3 linked regions of the Rhinolophus ferrumequinum genome follow. The protein of the gene in region 2 binds, or shares a complex with, the protein of the main gene of each other region. Links are inferred from orthologs where the notes say so. Each region holds a gene or a part of one and is shown on either strand. Other genes may lie near its edges.

Region 1 (3,440 bases), on a different chromosome or scaffold from region 2:
AGCCAGCTACATGTGTGCCTGGGGATAAGCATTCCAGGTACAGGAACAGCGAGGACAAATGTTCTGAGCAGGAAAGCGCGCGGTGCGCTTGTGGAAGGGAAAGGAAGAGAGAGAAAGAAGAGAGGTGGTATCCACGGTGGCGCCTGCTATGAGGACTGGCTCTTAGAGCTTTGACGAGGGGTTTACATTTTATGTTAAGTGTGATGGGAAGCAGTGGAGGATTGGAGTGATATGATTTGATTTTTCTTTTAAAAAGCTTACTCTGAAAAAAAAAGTGAAAAAAAAATGCTTACTCTGGTTGCGGCCCCCACCCCCTATTCTCCCACCCACATGTGGAGATGCTCGCTCAGTGTTGGACTCTGGGGATACCAAGAAGGATGAGCCGTGGTCCCTGCCCCCAGAGGGGTGCTCAACTCTCCTCTTTGCCTCAACCCTGCCCCCAATCGCCCCTTCTTTGCCCCATGACACGTGACACAATGTGATCCATTGGAAGCTAGTTTATTTTGATTGGTTTTTCATGGGGCCGGGCTGGGCTGGGAGGTAACTGAGCTCTGAAGTTCGGTTCTAGGGACGTTGATCCCCTTTCTCAGCACTGCGGCGGCCGAAGTCCATCCATTCATACGCTGCTTCTTCTTCCTTCAGCCATGGCTCCTGCTTCTTGGACAGATCTGAGGGTCAGAGATGGCAGAGGAGGTGAGTATGGTGGAGGGACACCTAGCTTCTGGGACTGAGGCCAGGGCCAAATGGGCTGAGTGAGGCAAGCAGGGATGGCTGTCAGTAACTCCTACCTGCCACCAGGTCTGGGGGACTCTGGCGCCTAATCTGCCTTCGGTGGTGAGGGGCTGGACCCAACTGGTCCAGCCAATGTGGCTCCAGGCCCCTATTGACCCCTGAATCCGAGGGCGAATCCTGCAGCTCGTAGTGGGGCTTCCAAGAAGCTTCAGAGAAGGTAGCCAGAGCCAGTGCCGAGATCAGCACGTACACACACAATCTGTGCATCTTGTCTGCAAAGGAGAGAGCGGCCGAGCTTAAAGGTGGAGTAGTCCAGGCACCCAGAGGCAGGTGTCTGGACCAGATACACTCCAGACTCTGCCTGCCAACAGATCTGCAATTCTGCGACGGCTTGGCGGCTGTTCTTCCAGTTCCTGCCTGCTCCCCCGGCCCCCAAGCCTTGCCCCTTTCCTTCTTACGTACCCTAACTCCAGTGACTGCTTCTCTGAGTAATCGAAAACCTAGAGGAATTTTTTCTAAACTGTTTTATAGAGTTTGAGGCCAGGTGAATAGCTCTGTAGATGTTTCAGTCTTGTAATTTACAGTGAACGTTAAACAGTAATACCAAAGGAACATACACACTCAGCTGCGTTACAGACCACACCGGGTTCCTTTGGAGACCTCCAGCATAGTCACCGTGTCCAGCATTGGCCATGTGTGTTGTCCAGTATGGTAGCCGTGGTCACATATGGCTCCTTGCATTTAAATTCAGATAAAAAATTCCTCCCTTGCACTAGCCACATTTACAGTGCATGTGTGGCTGGTGGATACCATATTGGACAGTGAAGATTTAGATTAACATCAAAATCGAAAGTTCTTTCAGACTGTGCTGGTCTAGGAAAGAGCTTGAGGTGGGATCCAGAAACCCTGGGTTCCAGTCCCAGCCTTGCCCAATAATTTATATGACTTTGGGTAAGTCACGTCTCCCTCTGGGCCTCAGTTTTCTCATCTGAGAGATGGGAGAATAGCCTTTGTCCCCAGCTCCTAGGGCTGGGGTGAGTATGTAGTAAGAGGTTAGGGCAGGGACCTGGGTGAATCAGCAGGTCAGCTTGAAGGCGAGGGTTGGGAAGCCAGGGTGGGCCCTAGTGCCGAGACCTAGTGCAGCCCTGGGCTAAAGGACGTGTCCCATCCCTGGAGACACCGAGATGTGAGCCTGGGGTCCTAGCAACCCTCTTCCCAGCCTCTCCCTCCCCTCCCAGGTGCTCTCACCTGCAGAGCTGGGAAGCCGATGCTCGATGCTCGGGTCAGTTTGGAGCCTCTCTGTCCTCTGTTGGGCTGGGTGCTCCAGCCCTGACTTATAAAGCCCTCAAGGCCCCTCCCAAGCCCCCCCCCCCCCCCCCCCCCCCGTGAGGTCAGGCTCTTCACTGGTAGAGGAAAGTGGGTGGTCCAGGTACATCACCCCTGCCCCGCCCTGTCATTTAGAGTCACTCATCCGGGTGTGGGGGAGGGGAGAGAGTGGACCTTCGTGGGGAGGGGCAGGAGCAGGGTGGGGCAGGGGCAGTTCTTCAGCTGGGCATGAGGGCAGGCAGGAGACAGGTTCCCTGGGCTCAGGGACAGGGTCCCCATCATGTTCTCGGGGTCAGAGACCTGGTGCTCACCCCTTGGTCTAGATCCAGTCAGGGGCAGGTGAGGCAGACGGACCAAATGACCTTAGATTCAGAGAAAACACTGTAAGAGACTGTTAGCATGTGAACTGCTATCTTTAGGTCAGGGTTAACAGCCCCTAGCCTGAAACAACATAATTATAAAATTCCAGGATGTGGGCAGTTGCAGCATGGAGACTAGAAGTCCTGTAGCTTATCTTATACTCCTGGTCTCCTTGTCCTGTAGTAAATCTTATACTCTTTGAAGCTATGCAAGTCCTGTAGCTTATCTTATACTCCTGGTCTCCTTGTCCTGTAGTAAATCTTATACTCTTTGAAGCTATGCAAGTCCTGTAGCTTATCTTATACTCCTGGTCTCCTTGTCCTGTAGTAAATCTTATACTCTTTGAAACTATGTAAGTCCTGTAAGTTTATCTAGTACTCTCAGAAGCTATGGAAAGCCTTGAAAATGCTATATAACCCCTTGGCTTTAAGTGTTTGGGGTCCTTGTTAAAACCTGCTGCGTCGGGCAGAGACTCGGACCCCAGCCGGCTGGAAATAAACCTCGCTGTGTGACTTGCATTATTTTGCGGGTTCTCTGTCTGTCTGAGGGGGACAATTCCGGACCTTAACATTTGGGGGCTCGCCCGGGACGCCCCCCCCTCAGGGGAACAGACAACTCCCGATACCGAGGTTTACATAGGGAACCGCGGAAGGAGGTTTGGCCACCTCCAATAGGGGAGGACTGAAACAGGTCCTCGACCGGAGAGACTGAAACAGGTCTCTGCCCGGTCCCAGTTGAGAATTCTCACGGGAAGGAAAGTGCGGGTTACGACCCTGGAGGCTTCGTTACTTGAAGTCGTGGGAGACGTCCCCGACAAGAAGGTGGCCCAGCGACGTCCACAGTGGACGCCGTTTGGACGGGCCCTAGGTAAGGATCTTGAGCGTGGTGAGACTGGTGTGATTGAAACGGCGCCTGTGGATGTGGTGTGGTTGACCGGCCAGTGGGTGTTGAAGAGTCCCTTGCGAAGTTGTGTATTTGCTGGTACTGTGTCTTTTGTCCTTTCTTTTGCCTTTTCTTGGTTT
Region 2 (3,744 bases):
AAAGACCTTTCAAGTCTATATTTCTAGCTCATACCTCACACTTAGATTCCAGACCCCTGGGTTTAATAGTTTACTGGGTGACCTCACCTAAGTATTGCACCAGCATTTGAGCTCAGTGTGTTCCAAATTGAATTTATTATCTCCTCTTTCAAATCTGTTTCTGTTCCTTTGTTATCCTTCTCATTATATACACCAACATCTATCCAATTGTCCAAGCCAGAAACCTGGATGTTATCCCTTGACCTCTTCCTCCCTCTCCATTTCTTATAAATAGCTAAATTCTGTTGATTCCAGAAGTGCCTCTCAAACATCCACTTCTCTCCATCCCTGCTGCCAGTAAATTAGTCTAAGCCAGTATCATCTTTCCCCAGAACCAGTGTAATATAATAGCTTTCTAAAGTGTCCACCCACCCCATCCCCCTTTCTTACATGTCTTGTCCTCCGATCCATCCTCTACACCACAGAATGAATCCTGGCAGCACTACTGAAACTTCCAGTAGTTCCATGGCCCTCAAGACAACATTGACACTCCTTAAGTCTTAAAGCTCTTTAGGCTCACCTTCATTCTGAGTGTTCGTTATTCCTTTCTTACAGTATATGTTTCAGGCATTCAGAAACTATGACACACTGAACAAAAGTGCCTTGGTTTTAAACTTTGGGCTTTTACACATACTATTCCTCTGCTTGGAGTGCTTTTTTTTTTTTTCTTTTTTTTTCTTTTTTTTTTTTTTTTTTTTTTTTTTTTTTTTGCCTTTTCTGCCATTCATTTGGCTGGCTTTCTTTCATCCTTTTTATTTTTATTCAGTTCATACTTTGCCTCCTCAGGAGGCTAACTGATTTCCCAACGATAGGCTAGGCTAGCGGTGCTCCTCTTCTGTGTTCCCACAGCTCTCTCAAGGCACTTTGTGCTGCAATTCCTTGCTTACTTGTCTGTCTCATTCACTAAACTGTTGGAGTCATGAAAAAGGAACGGTGTCAGTTTTGGTGCCTAGCACAATCCCTGGTTCAATAAGTATTTGTTGAATAAAATAGAAATCTAAGTGAGAGTCTGTATGAGGAAGCATGCGTTCTTTGTGGGGTAACAAAGTACTTGAATTATAATTTATTCCCACCTTCCCTTTTTGGGATTGGCATAATTTCCTTCTGTTTAACATTATTTCCCCTCCTGGAATCCCACTTCTTCCTTGTCTGCATAATAAACTCCAACTTCAAGACCCAGCTCCCAGGTTCCCTCTGTGAAGTTCTTGAATCCTTTTGGGTGCCCACAATTCAGACCCTTTTGTGGGTCTTCCCTTGCTGACTGTGATTTTTCCGTTGGTTTTTGTCTCCTCTCTGCACTTGACTATGGACCGATGACAGTCCAGACTGGGTCTAGTTCATCCCTATGTCCCCATGGACTACAATAGCAGTTGCCCAGTAAACATTTAGGGAAAGGAAATGTACAGGAAGTAGAAAATATATAACTTGAGCTGGGTCATCAAGAAAATGCAGATGTTGGCTGATGGGAAGAGTGAAAGTTATTTTGGGGACTGGGTGAATGGAAGTAGTCTGAAGGGGTGGTGGCCACGGGGTGATTCAGGGGCCAGCTAGGCTCTAGGATGGTGAAACCTAAGGAGAGGCAGTCTGGAGGGGAGGCTTGGAAGGCACTTGGAGACGTTACTTGGTGATAGAGAAAGAGAGTTCAGACCTTGAGAAGAATTCCATGTTGGGAGGCAGGAAGATTTGAGGATGAGTGAAATGGAGACAGGCAGCTCTCCGGAGCAGCACCCAGCCTAATTCAAGTTTGACAATCTCTTCCGGGAAGATTGGGGGTTGGGGTTGGGGACACAGGAGATTATAACTCTAACTTCCCACTCAGGCCTTCCAGACTGCTCCCTTCCCCAAACAGCCCCTTTCTTTTTCCCAATCTTGCCTTCTTTTCTCTCTTTCCTTCTCCATTGTGGCTCTGTGAACTGGATGTAAAGGCAAAAGAGAGACTTAGAAGAATTAACTCCCCACCCTCTGTGTATTGGGGAAGGTACTGTGTTTGGGGGGTGACTAGAAGCTCCGGGTATGACCCGGGAACCAGGGTGTGTAGGGTTTCTCACCAGGCTGTGTGAGCTGGGATGGAGTTTTATGAGCTGAGGGGGACAAATGTCCTCCTCAGGGGAGCTGTTTGGGGACTGAGGGAGTGCCCTGAGGGCATGGTGTGGGTGTTTGAGGAGGCAATGTGGAGGCAGTGGGATCCTCTATTCGTGTCGTGGGTGCAGTGGGAAGGAGCTTGTGGAGGGGGCTTAGGGAGGCACCCACCTCGTGTCCCGGCTTCGCGGATGCGAGGGGGCTCGCAGCTGAGGTTGCCAGTACCGCTGCTGTTGAGGAGGGGGACCCCCGGGCGGCACAGGGAAGCCCCTGGCCCGGGTCCGGATCCCGGCACGCTCCGGTTCAGCTTGAGCAGCTCCATGGCCCTGGCCCCGCTCCTCCGGGCGGGCTCCCGCGGCGGCTCCACCTGCACGCGCTGAGATTCCGCGGAGGCGCCCGCCTCGCCTGGTCCCGCCCCCAACCTTGGCTCCTGCCCTCAGCTTTTCCGCGGTGCGCCCCGCGTGGGCTCGGGTCCCCCCAGCTCGGGTCCTCAGCTGTCCTGCCAGGTGACCTCCGCCCCCCTCCCCGCTCAGGACTTGCCCCCTGCGTGACTGTCCTCCAGGCTTGAGCCCTCCGTACCCTAAAATAAATCTCTCCGTTCTTCTTTTAGAGATTTTCTTCTCGCCCACTCCCCTTCACTACAGTCTCCGCCCCCGGGGATGCGGCGGGGGGAGAGACAGAGAGAGAGAGAGAGACAGAGAGAGAGTCAGAGAGAGAGAGAGAGACAGAGAGAGAGAGAGAGAGCGCTGAGATGGAAGGGTGGGGTGGGGGTTGGGGGTGGATGTAGAGACGGGGAGGTTGCGAGGAGGTAGGTTTCAGGGAAGGAAGGGTAAGAGGGGTGGGGTAGGGCGAGGCTGCTGCCGTGGAGTTTAGCATCTTTCCCTGGAGTGTCGGGGGACGTGGAGATGGAAACAGCCGGTGGCCGCGTGCGAGGTCACTGGCTTCGGCGCAGATGGCTTAGCTCACAGCGAACGCTGCAGTTACGATACTGTGCCGCAGTGGCCGCAGTGACCGCAGTGACCGCGATGCTATCGTTCCCGTAGTTCCCTGCAGCTCCTCGCCGCATCCTGCCTCAGGCAACACCCAGCCTCCCACCCAAAGGTCCCAAGGAACCCTCAGCAGCATGCGAGGATGGGGCGGGAGAGACAGCATTTGACCACGGGGAACCCTGGCGGGGGAAACGGCTGCCGGGAGGAAGAGTCTGACTTGGGTGTTGAGGAGTCTGGGGGTGGGGGTGTGAGAACTACCTAGGATAAACGGGGGTGGAGTGGGGTGAGGGTTGGGGGTATGGTTCTAAACCAGCGCTGCGTAGGCCTAAGAGGGGAGGAGGCTGCTGGTTTTCTTCGTGGTCTCCAGGCAGCGCCCACCGTCACCCGACACACAGACGCTCCCTGTTTGCTCTCCGCGCAGGTGGAGCAGCTTGTGTGGGGCGTCAGGTTCCCACGGGAGGGGCCAGAAGGGGGCTGGGTCACTGGGGTGCAGCGGAAACAAAGCTGTTGAGAGCATGCGCAGGACTGAGTCGGATTCAGCTCCTTGGGCTGGACTTGCCTCCTCTAATATTTTAGCCTAAAGAGCAGATTAGACAGGGGATGAGGTCTGAGTTTGCGGGGAATTCAGAGAGCCCTA
Region 3 (3,744 bases), on a different chromosome or scaffold from region 2:
CCCCTCTTCTCCCCAGCCTGGACCCAGGCACTCCTCTGGCCCAAACCCAGGAAGCCCATTTCATGGGGGTAGGGGATGGGGAGGGAAGCAAAGCCAGAGGGGCAGGATGCTGAAATGGACTCCCCAGCCTAGAAAATGCTGAGCCGTACCCTGAACCCCTGGTTGTGACAGCCCAGTGTGGGAGGGGTTGCCAGGCCCAAAACCTGAGCCAGGCTCCTAGGAGCAAGACTGGTGGGATGCGGTCCAGACACAGAACAGCCCAGAAGCCCTGTGTCCCCCCGCCCCATGGCCCAGTCCCACATCTCAGCTGCCACAATAACTCTGACGGGCCTGCCAAGGGGCTGGCTAGAGGCCCCTGGTCGGGCACTGGGAGGCAGCAGGACCAGAAGCACCTTTCCCAGGCCCAGCAGGCAGCAGCCACGGGCATTCCATCGGCGACACCCACTCACTGCCGCTGTACTCGCAGCACAGAGACAGGAAGAGGCAAGCGCCCAACGCAAAACAGCCCAGGAGGCTGGGCCGCCGCCCCTTCCCGCCCCTTCTCTTCCTCCCGCAGCGTTGGAGCGGATGCCATTTTGAAACCTCGGGGCTGTGCCCCCGAGGCCAGGCCCCCAGGGACAGTCAACAGATGGACGCATGACGAAAGACACACTGTCCCTCGGCCATAGGCCCCTCGGCCATACGCCCAGCATGAAAAGCCCCACTTTTCACAGCTTGGGACCCCACAGCAGCTCTGAGGCTGAGGGGCCACACCCCCCCATACACTGTCCAGCCTCCAATGCTGCTGCCAGGGGCTTCCCTCCCTCCAAGCCCGAAACCTCCCCCAAATCAGGCTGCCACTGGGCACCACACCTGCTCCCAGTGGGAGGCTGGATGGGGACAACTACAGGGCCCACAGGCTTTGTAAAAGTCCACCTCAGGTGCCCCCCGCCTACCCCCTACCCCCCATCCAGCTGGTCCACCACTCGCTCCTCACACGGCCTCAAGATCCAACAGGCCACCCCCTCCCGGAGGCCACATCCCAGGCCGTTAGGCCCAGAGGCGTGCAGGAAGCCTGGCACCCGTCAGCAGATCTCCTCGGCCCGCCCGCCCGCCAGGGCAGCAATATGTCGGCTCGCTGTCTTACCACTTCCACTTCCCCCACCTCTCAAGCAGCCACCATCTTCCCTGGCCCTGGAGGCGCCACAACCCCAACTCCTCCACACTCCCTCCTACCCCCCAGACCTCCCCCTCACCGGCCCAGACCCGGCTTAGAAACTGGGAAAAGGACAGCCCTGGGATGCAGAGGCCCGGGCTCCCCAAGTGGGACCAGTGAAGCCTTAGTCGGACCCCTTGGGGGTCTGGGCCACCTCCTCCCAGCCTGGCCCATCCAGTGCAGGAGGGGTGGGGGACTCTGGGAAAGGCCGAAGTGTGGAAGAGGACTTCACGGAGGGGAAACAGCGGGTCTGAGGAGTGATGCGGGCAGAGACCTGGTGGGCCAGATGCAGGCAGCAGAGGTCTTTAAGGGTTTGGGGGTTCCAGCTGGAGAGAGGGCTCAGGAGCAGTTATGGTTTCCCACTTGAGAGGCCCCTTGGGATCAGGGTGCACAGGTGGAGGATACAGGGTGCCGTGTAGAGATGGGGAACAGAGCGGGAAGGAGGGAAAGGGGGCCAGGCAGGGGCCTTGAGGATACTTCCACCGAACGGAATACGGTGAGCAGTCTGGGGGCCGAGTAGGGTTCTGGGGGTTTGGGTAAAGTCTAGGGAAGGATGAGGACAGGCAGCGGCTCTGAGGGTCTGTGAGGTTGGTCAGTAAAGGTGGATTTTCAAGCCGGGTTCTGAGCAGCTTATGTTGAGGCACTGGGGGCCGGCTTTGGGGACTGGAATGAGTTGAAGGTCTAACCTCGACTCTGGGCTATAGATCAGAGGTCTGGACCAACCCAGACTTTTGAATCATTATTTGGTTGTCCTGGCCAGGCCAGGTCTGGGGGTTCAAATTCAGATGTGGGGGTCCAGGCCGAGTCTGGGAGTTCAAAGCCCTAGCCTGGAGGTCAAAGTCCTTGTTGGGGGTTTTGGGCGGGGAGTCGGGGGTCCCAGCGCAGGGCGCGGCCTCACCCAACAGCAGCAACTTGACCTCCCGCGCCGCCTTCTCTCCGTCTTCCCTCAGATTCTTGTCGATCATCTTGGAGCGCTCGGCCGCCGCCTTGTCCTCGGCGCTCACGGTGCAGCCCATCCTGCCGTCCGCCGGCCCGGCCGCCGCTCGGCCCCGACACGGCCCCCGGCCCGGCTTGGCCCCGCGCGCAACCCACTCCGCTCCCGCCGCCGGCTCTCCTCGGGTAGCTCTCCGGTCGGCAATTGCGAGCGTCTGCGGGCGGTGCCTTCCAGGGCTCCGCGCACCGACGGCGGGGCGGGCCGGGGGTGGGGCCGGAACGAGCCAGGCCCGGCACTGGGCAGGGGCGGGTCTGGAGGCGGGGCCACAGGAGATCTCGGGCCAGCGATTGGTTCGAGGGCGGAACTAAGGAGTTAGGCGCAGCCCAGGCTCGGGCGCGGGCTGGAGGCGGAGCCACGCCGAGGGAGAGCCGTAGAGGTATCGCCAAGCCCAGAGGGATAGGACTCGGGGCGGGCTGCAGGCGGGGCCGGCATCCGATTGGGTGCGGAGCTCCTGGGGCGCAGCCCAACCGCGGGGCGGGAGGATCTCGTAGCCTGAGGGTGGAGATCGGGTGCACCTTGCGGGCGGAGCAGGAAGCAGCCCTCCGAGCTTCATCGAGTTGCGCGAACCGGGTGGAGGAGGCGTGTCCTCGCACTTGTTAAAGTTAATAAACCCAATAAACTTGTTTTGGGATCTACAGAGCCCAGAGTCTCTCTGGACTGCGGCTTTCTCCGTCCTAAGGAGGGTTTGCTCCCCTTCTCTTTCTGGGTTGCAATTTTTACAAAAAGTCTATTGCCACTTCTACATCTTTGCTTTTTCTAGTCATCCAGGACTTACTCTATCCTCAGTTCTTCTAGGAGGCATTCTCCAGCAGGTAGGCATCCTGGACTCCAGCCTGGGTCTCCGCAACCAGGACCCAAGTGAGGAGGAGAGAGACAGAGAGAGAGATGCCAACTGACCTCTGAAAATATAAGTGGCCATGATCTTATGGCCTGACTCCACTAGACAGTGGCTACAACCCTATGACGGGGCAAAGGTGGGGTGGAGGCAGCAGTGTATCTAGTGCAATAGCCGAGATGGCCCCAACCCAAAGACAGAAAAGGTCAACAAAGCCAGGAGGGGAACTGGCCACCAATGCTCGGTCACCAACGCTTGGCCACCCACAGCCCCTGTTCAGCAGACTCCCTCCTTCCTACCCTGGCACACATCTTGTTTCAGCTCCCAGTCCTCAGGCTGTCTGCTCCCCCTGGAGTGTCTGTATCCCTATCTGAATGGCTCCCTTGTTGAGGAGCCATTGGCCTGTAAGTCCTCCAACGGTTCCCCCTGGGCTCCCTCCTTCCTGGAGCCAAAGCTCAGACAGGCACTGCCACAAGCATGCAACATGGTGAAAACACATAATGCCCACCCAGTGACACAGACACTCAGAGATATGCTCTATACATGCCTCTAACCACAGAAGACTATAAAAATGGGTGCACACAGCCAAGAACACAGCCTGTCTGTGACCAGACTTGCCTCTTCCCCCACCAGCTCAGCCCTGCGCTTGAGAGCTGATCCTCCCTTCTCAGGCCTCCCCAGCCTGCTCCTAGCAACAGCCAACAGCTCTTGCAGTTGCCC

Evidence for each region.
Region 1: the proteins of CCKBR (region 2) and GAST are in contact, whole or in part, in a cryo-EM structure (PDB 7XOW), measured with the Homo sapiens proteins. The link is inferred for Rhinolophus ferrumequinum from reciprocal best matches to the Homo sapiens genes CCKBR and GAST. Residues at the interface, in NP_795344.1 of Homo sapiens: Cys107, Pro114, Asn115, Gly118, Thr119, Phe120, Met134, Gly135, Val138, Tyr189, Gln204, Cys205, His207, Leu222, Val349, Tyr350, Ala352, Asn353, Arg356, Pro361, Ala363, His364, Leu367, Ser368, Ile372, His376, Tyr380; in NP_000796.1 of Homo sapiens: Glu85, Ala86, Tyr87, Gly88, Trp89, Met90, Asp91, Phe92.
Region 3: the proteins of CCKBR (region 2) and GNAI2 are in contact, whole or in part, in a cryo-EM structure (PDB 7F8V), measured with the Homo sapiens proteins. The link is inferred for Rhinolophus ferrumequinum from reciprocal best matches to the Homo sapiens genes CCKBR and GNAI2. Residues at the interface, in NP_795344.1 of Homo sapiens: Thr87, Thr89, Arg152, Ala155, Ile156, Pro159, Leu160, Ala162, Arg163, Val164, Thr167, Ser169, Ile241, Gly248, Leu249, Lys328, Val331, Leu335, His394, Arg396; in NP_002061.1 of Homo sapiens: Glu28, Ala31, Arg32, Glu33, Val34, Lys193, Leu195, Thr220, Phe337, Thr341, Asp342, Ile344, Ile345, Asn348, Leu349, Lys350, Asp351, Cys352, Gly353, Leu354, Phe355.

Annotation. Positions count from the first base shown.
Region 1 is NC_046304.1:37,693,260-37,696,699, reverse strand, and holds GAST (gastrin), read right to left. Parts: upstream 2,026-3,440; 5' UTR 1,981-2,025; intron 1,005-1,980; 5' UTR 1,000-1,004; coding exon 789-999; intron 669-788; coding exon 565-668; 3' UTR 503-564; downstream 1-502. UniProt on the Homo sapiens protein: Gastrin stimulates the stomach mucosa to produce and secrete hydrochloric acid and the pancreas to secrete its digestive enzymes. It also stimulates smooth muscle contraction and increases blood circulation and water secretion in the stomach and intestine.
Region 2 is NC_046294.1:45,510,223-45,513,966, forward strand, and holds the start of CCKBR (gastrin/cholecystokinin type B receptor), read right to left. Parts: upstream 2,441-3,744; coding exon 2,290-2,440; intron 1-2,289. UniProt on the Homo sapiens protein: Receptor for gastrin and cholecystokinin. The CCK-B receptors occur throughout the central nervous system where they modulate anxiety, analgesia, arousal, and neuroleptic activity.
Region 3 is NC_046300.1:6,341,047-6,344,790, forward strand, and holds the start of GNAI2 (guanine nucleotide-binding protein G(i) subunit alpha-2), read right to left. Parts: upstream 2,369-3,744; 5' UTR 2,212-2,368; coding exon 2,094-2,211; intron 1-2,093. UniProt on the Homo sapiens protein: Guanine nucleotide-binding proteins (G proteins) are involved as modulators or transducers in various transmembrane signaling systems.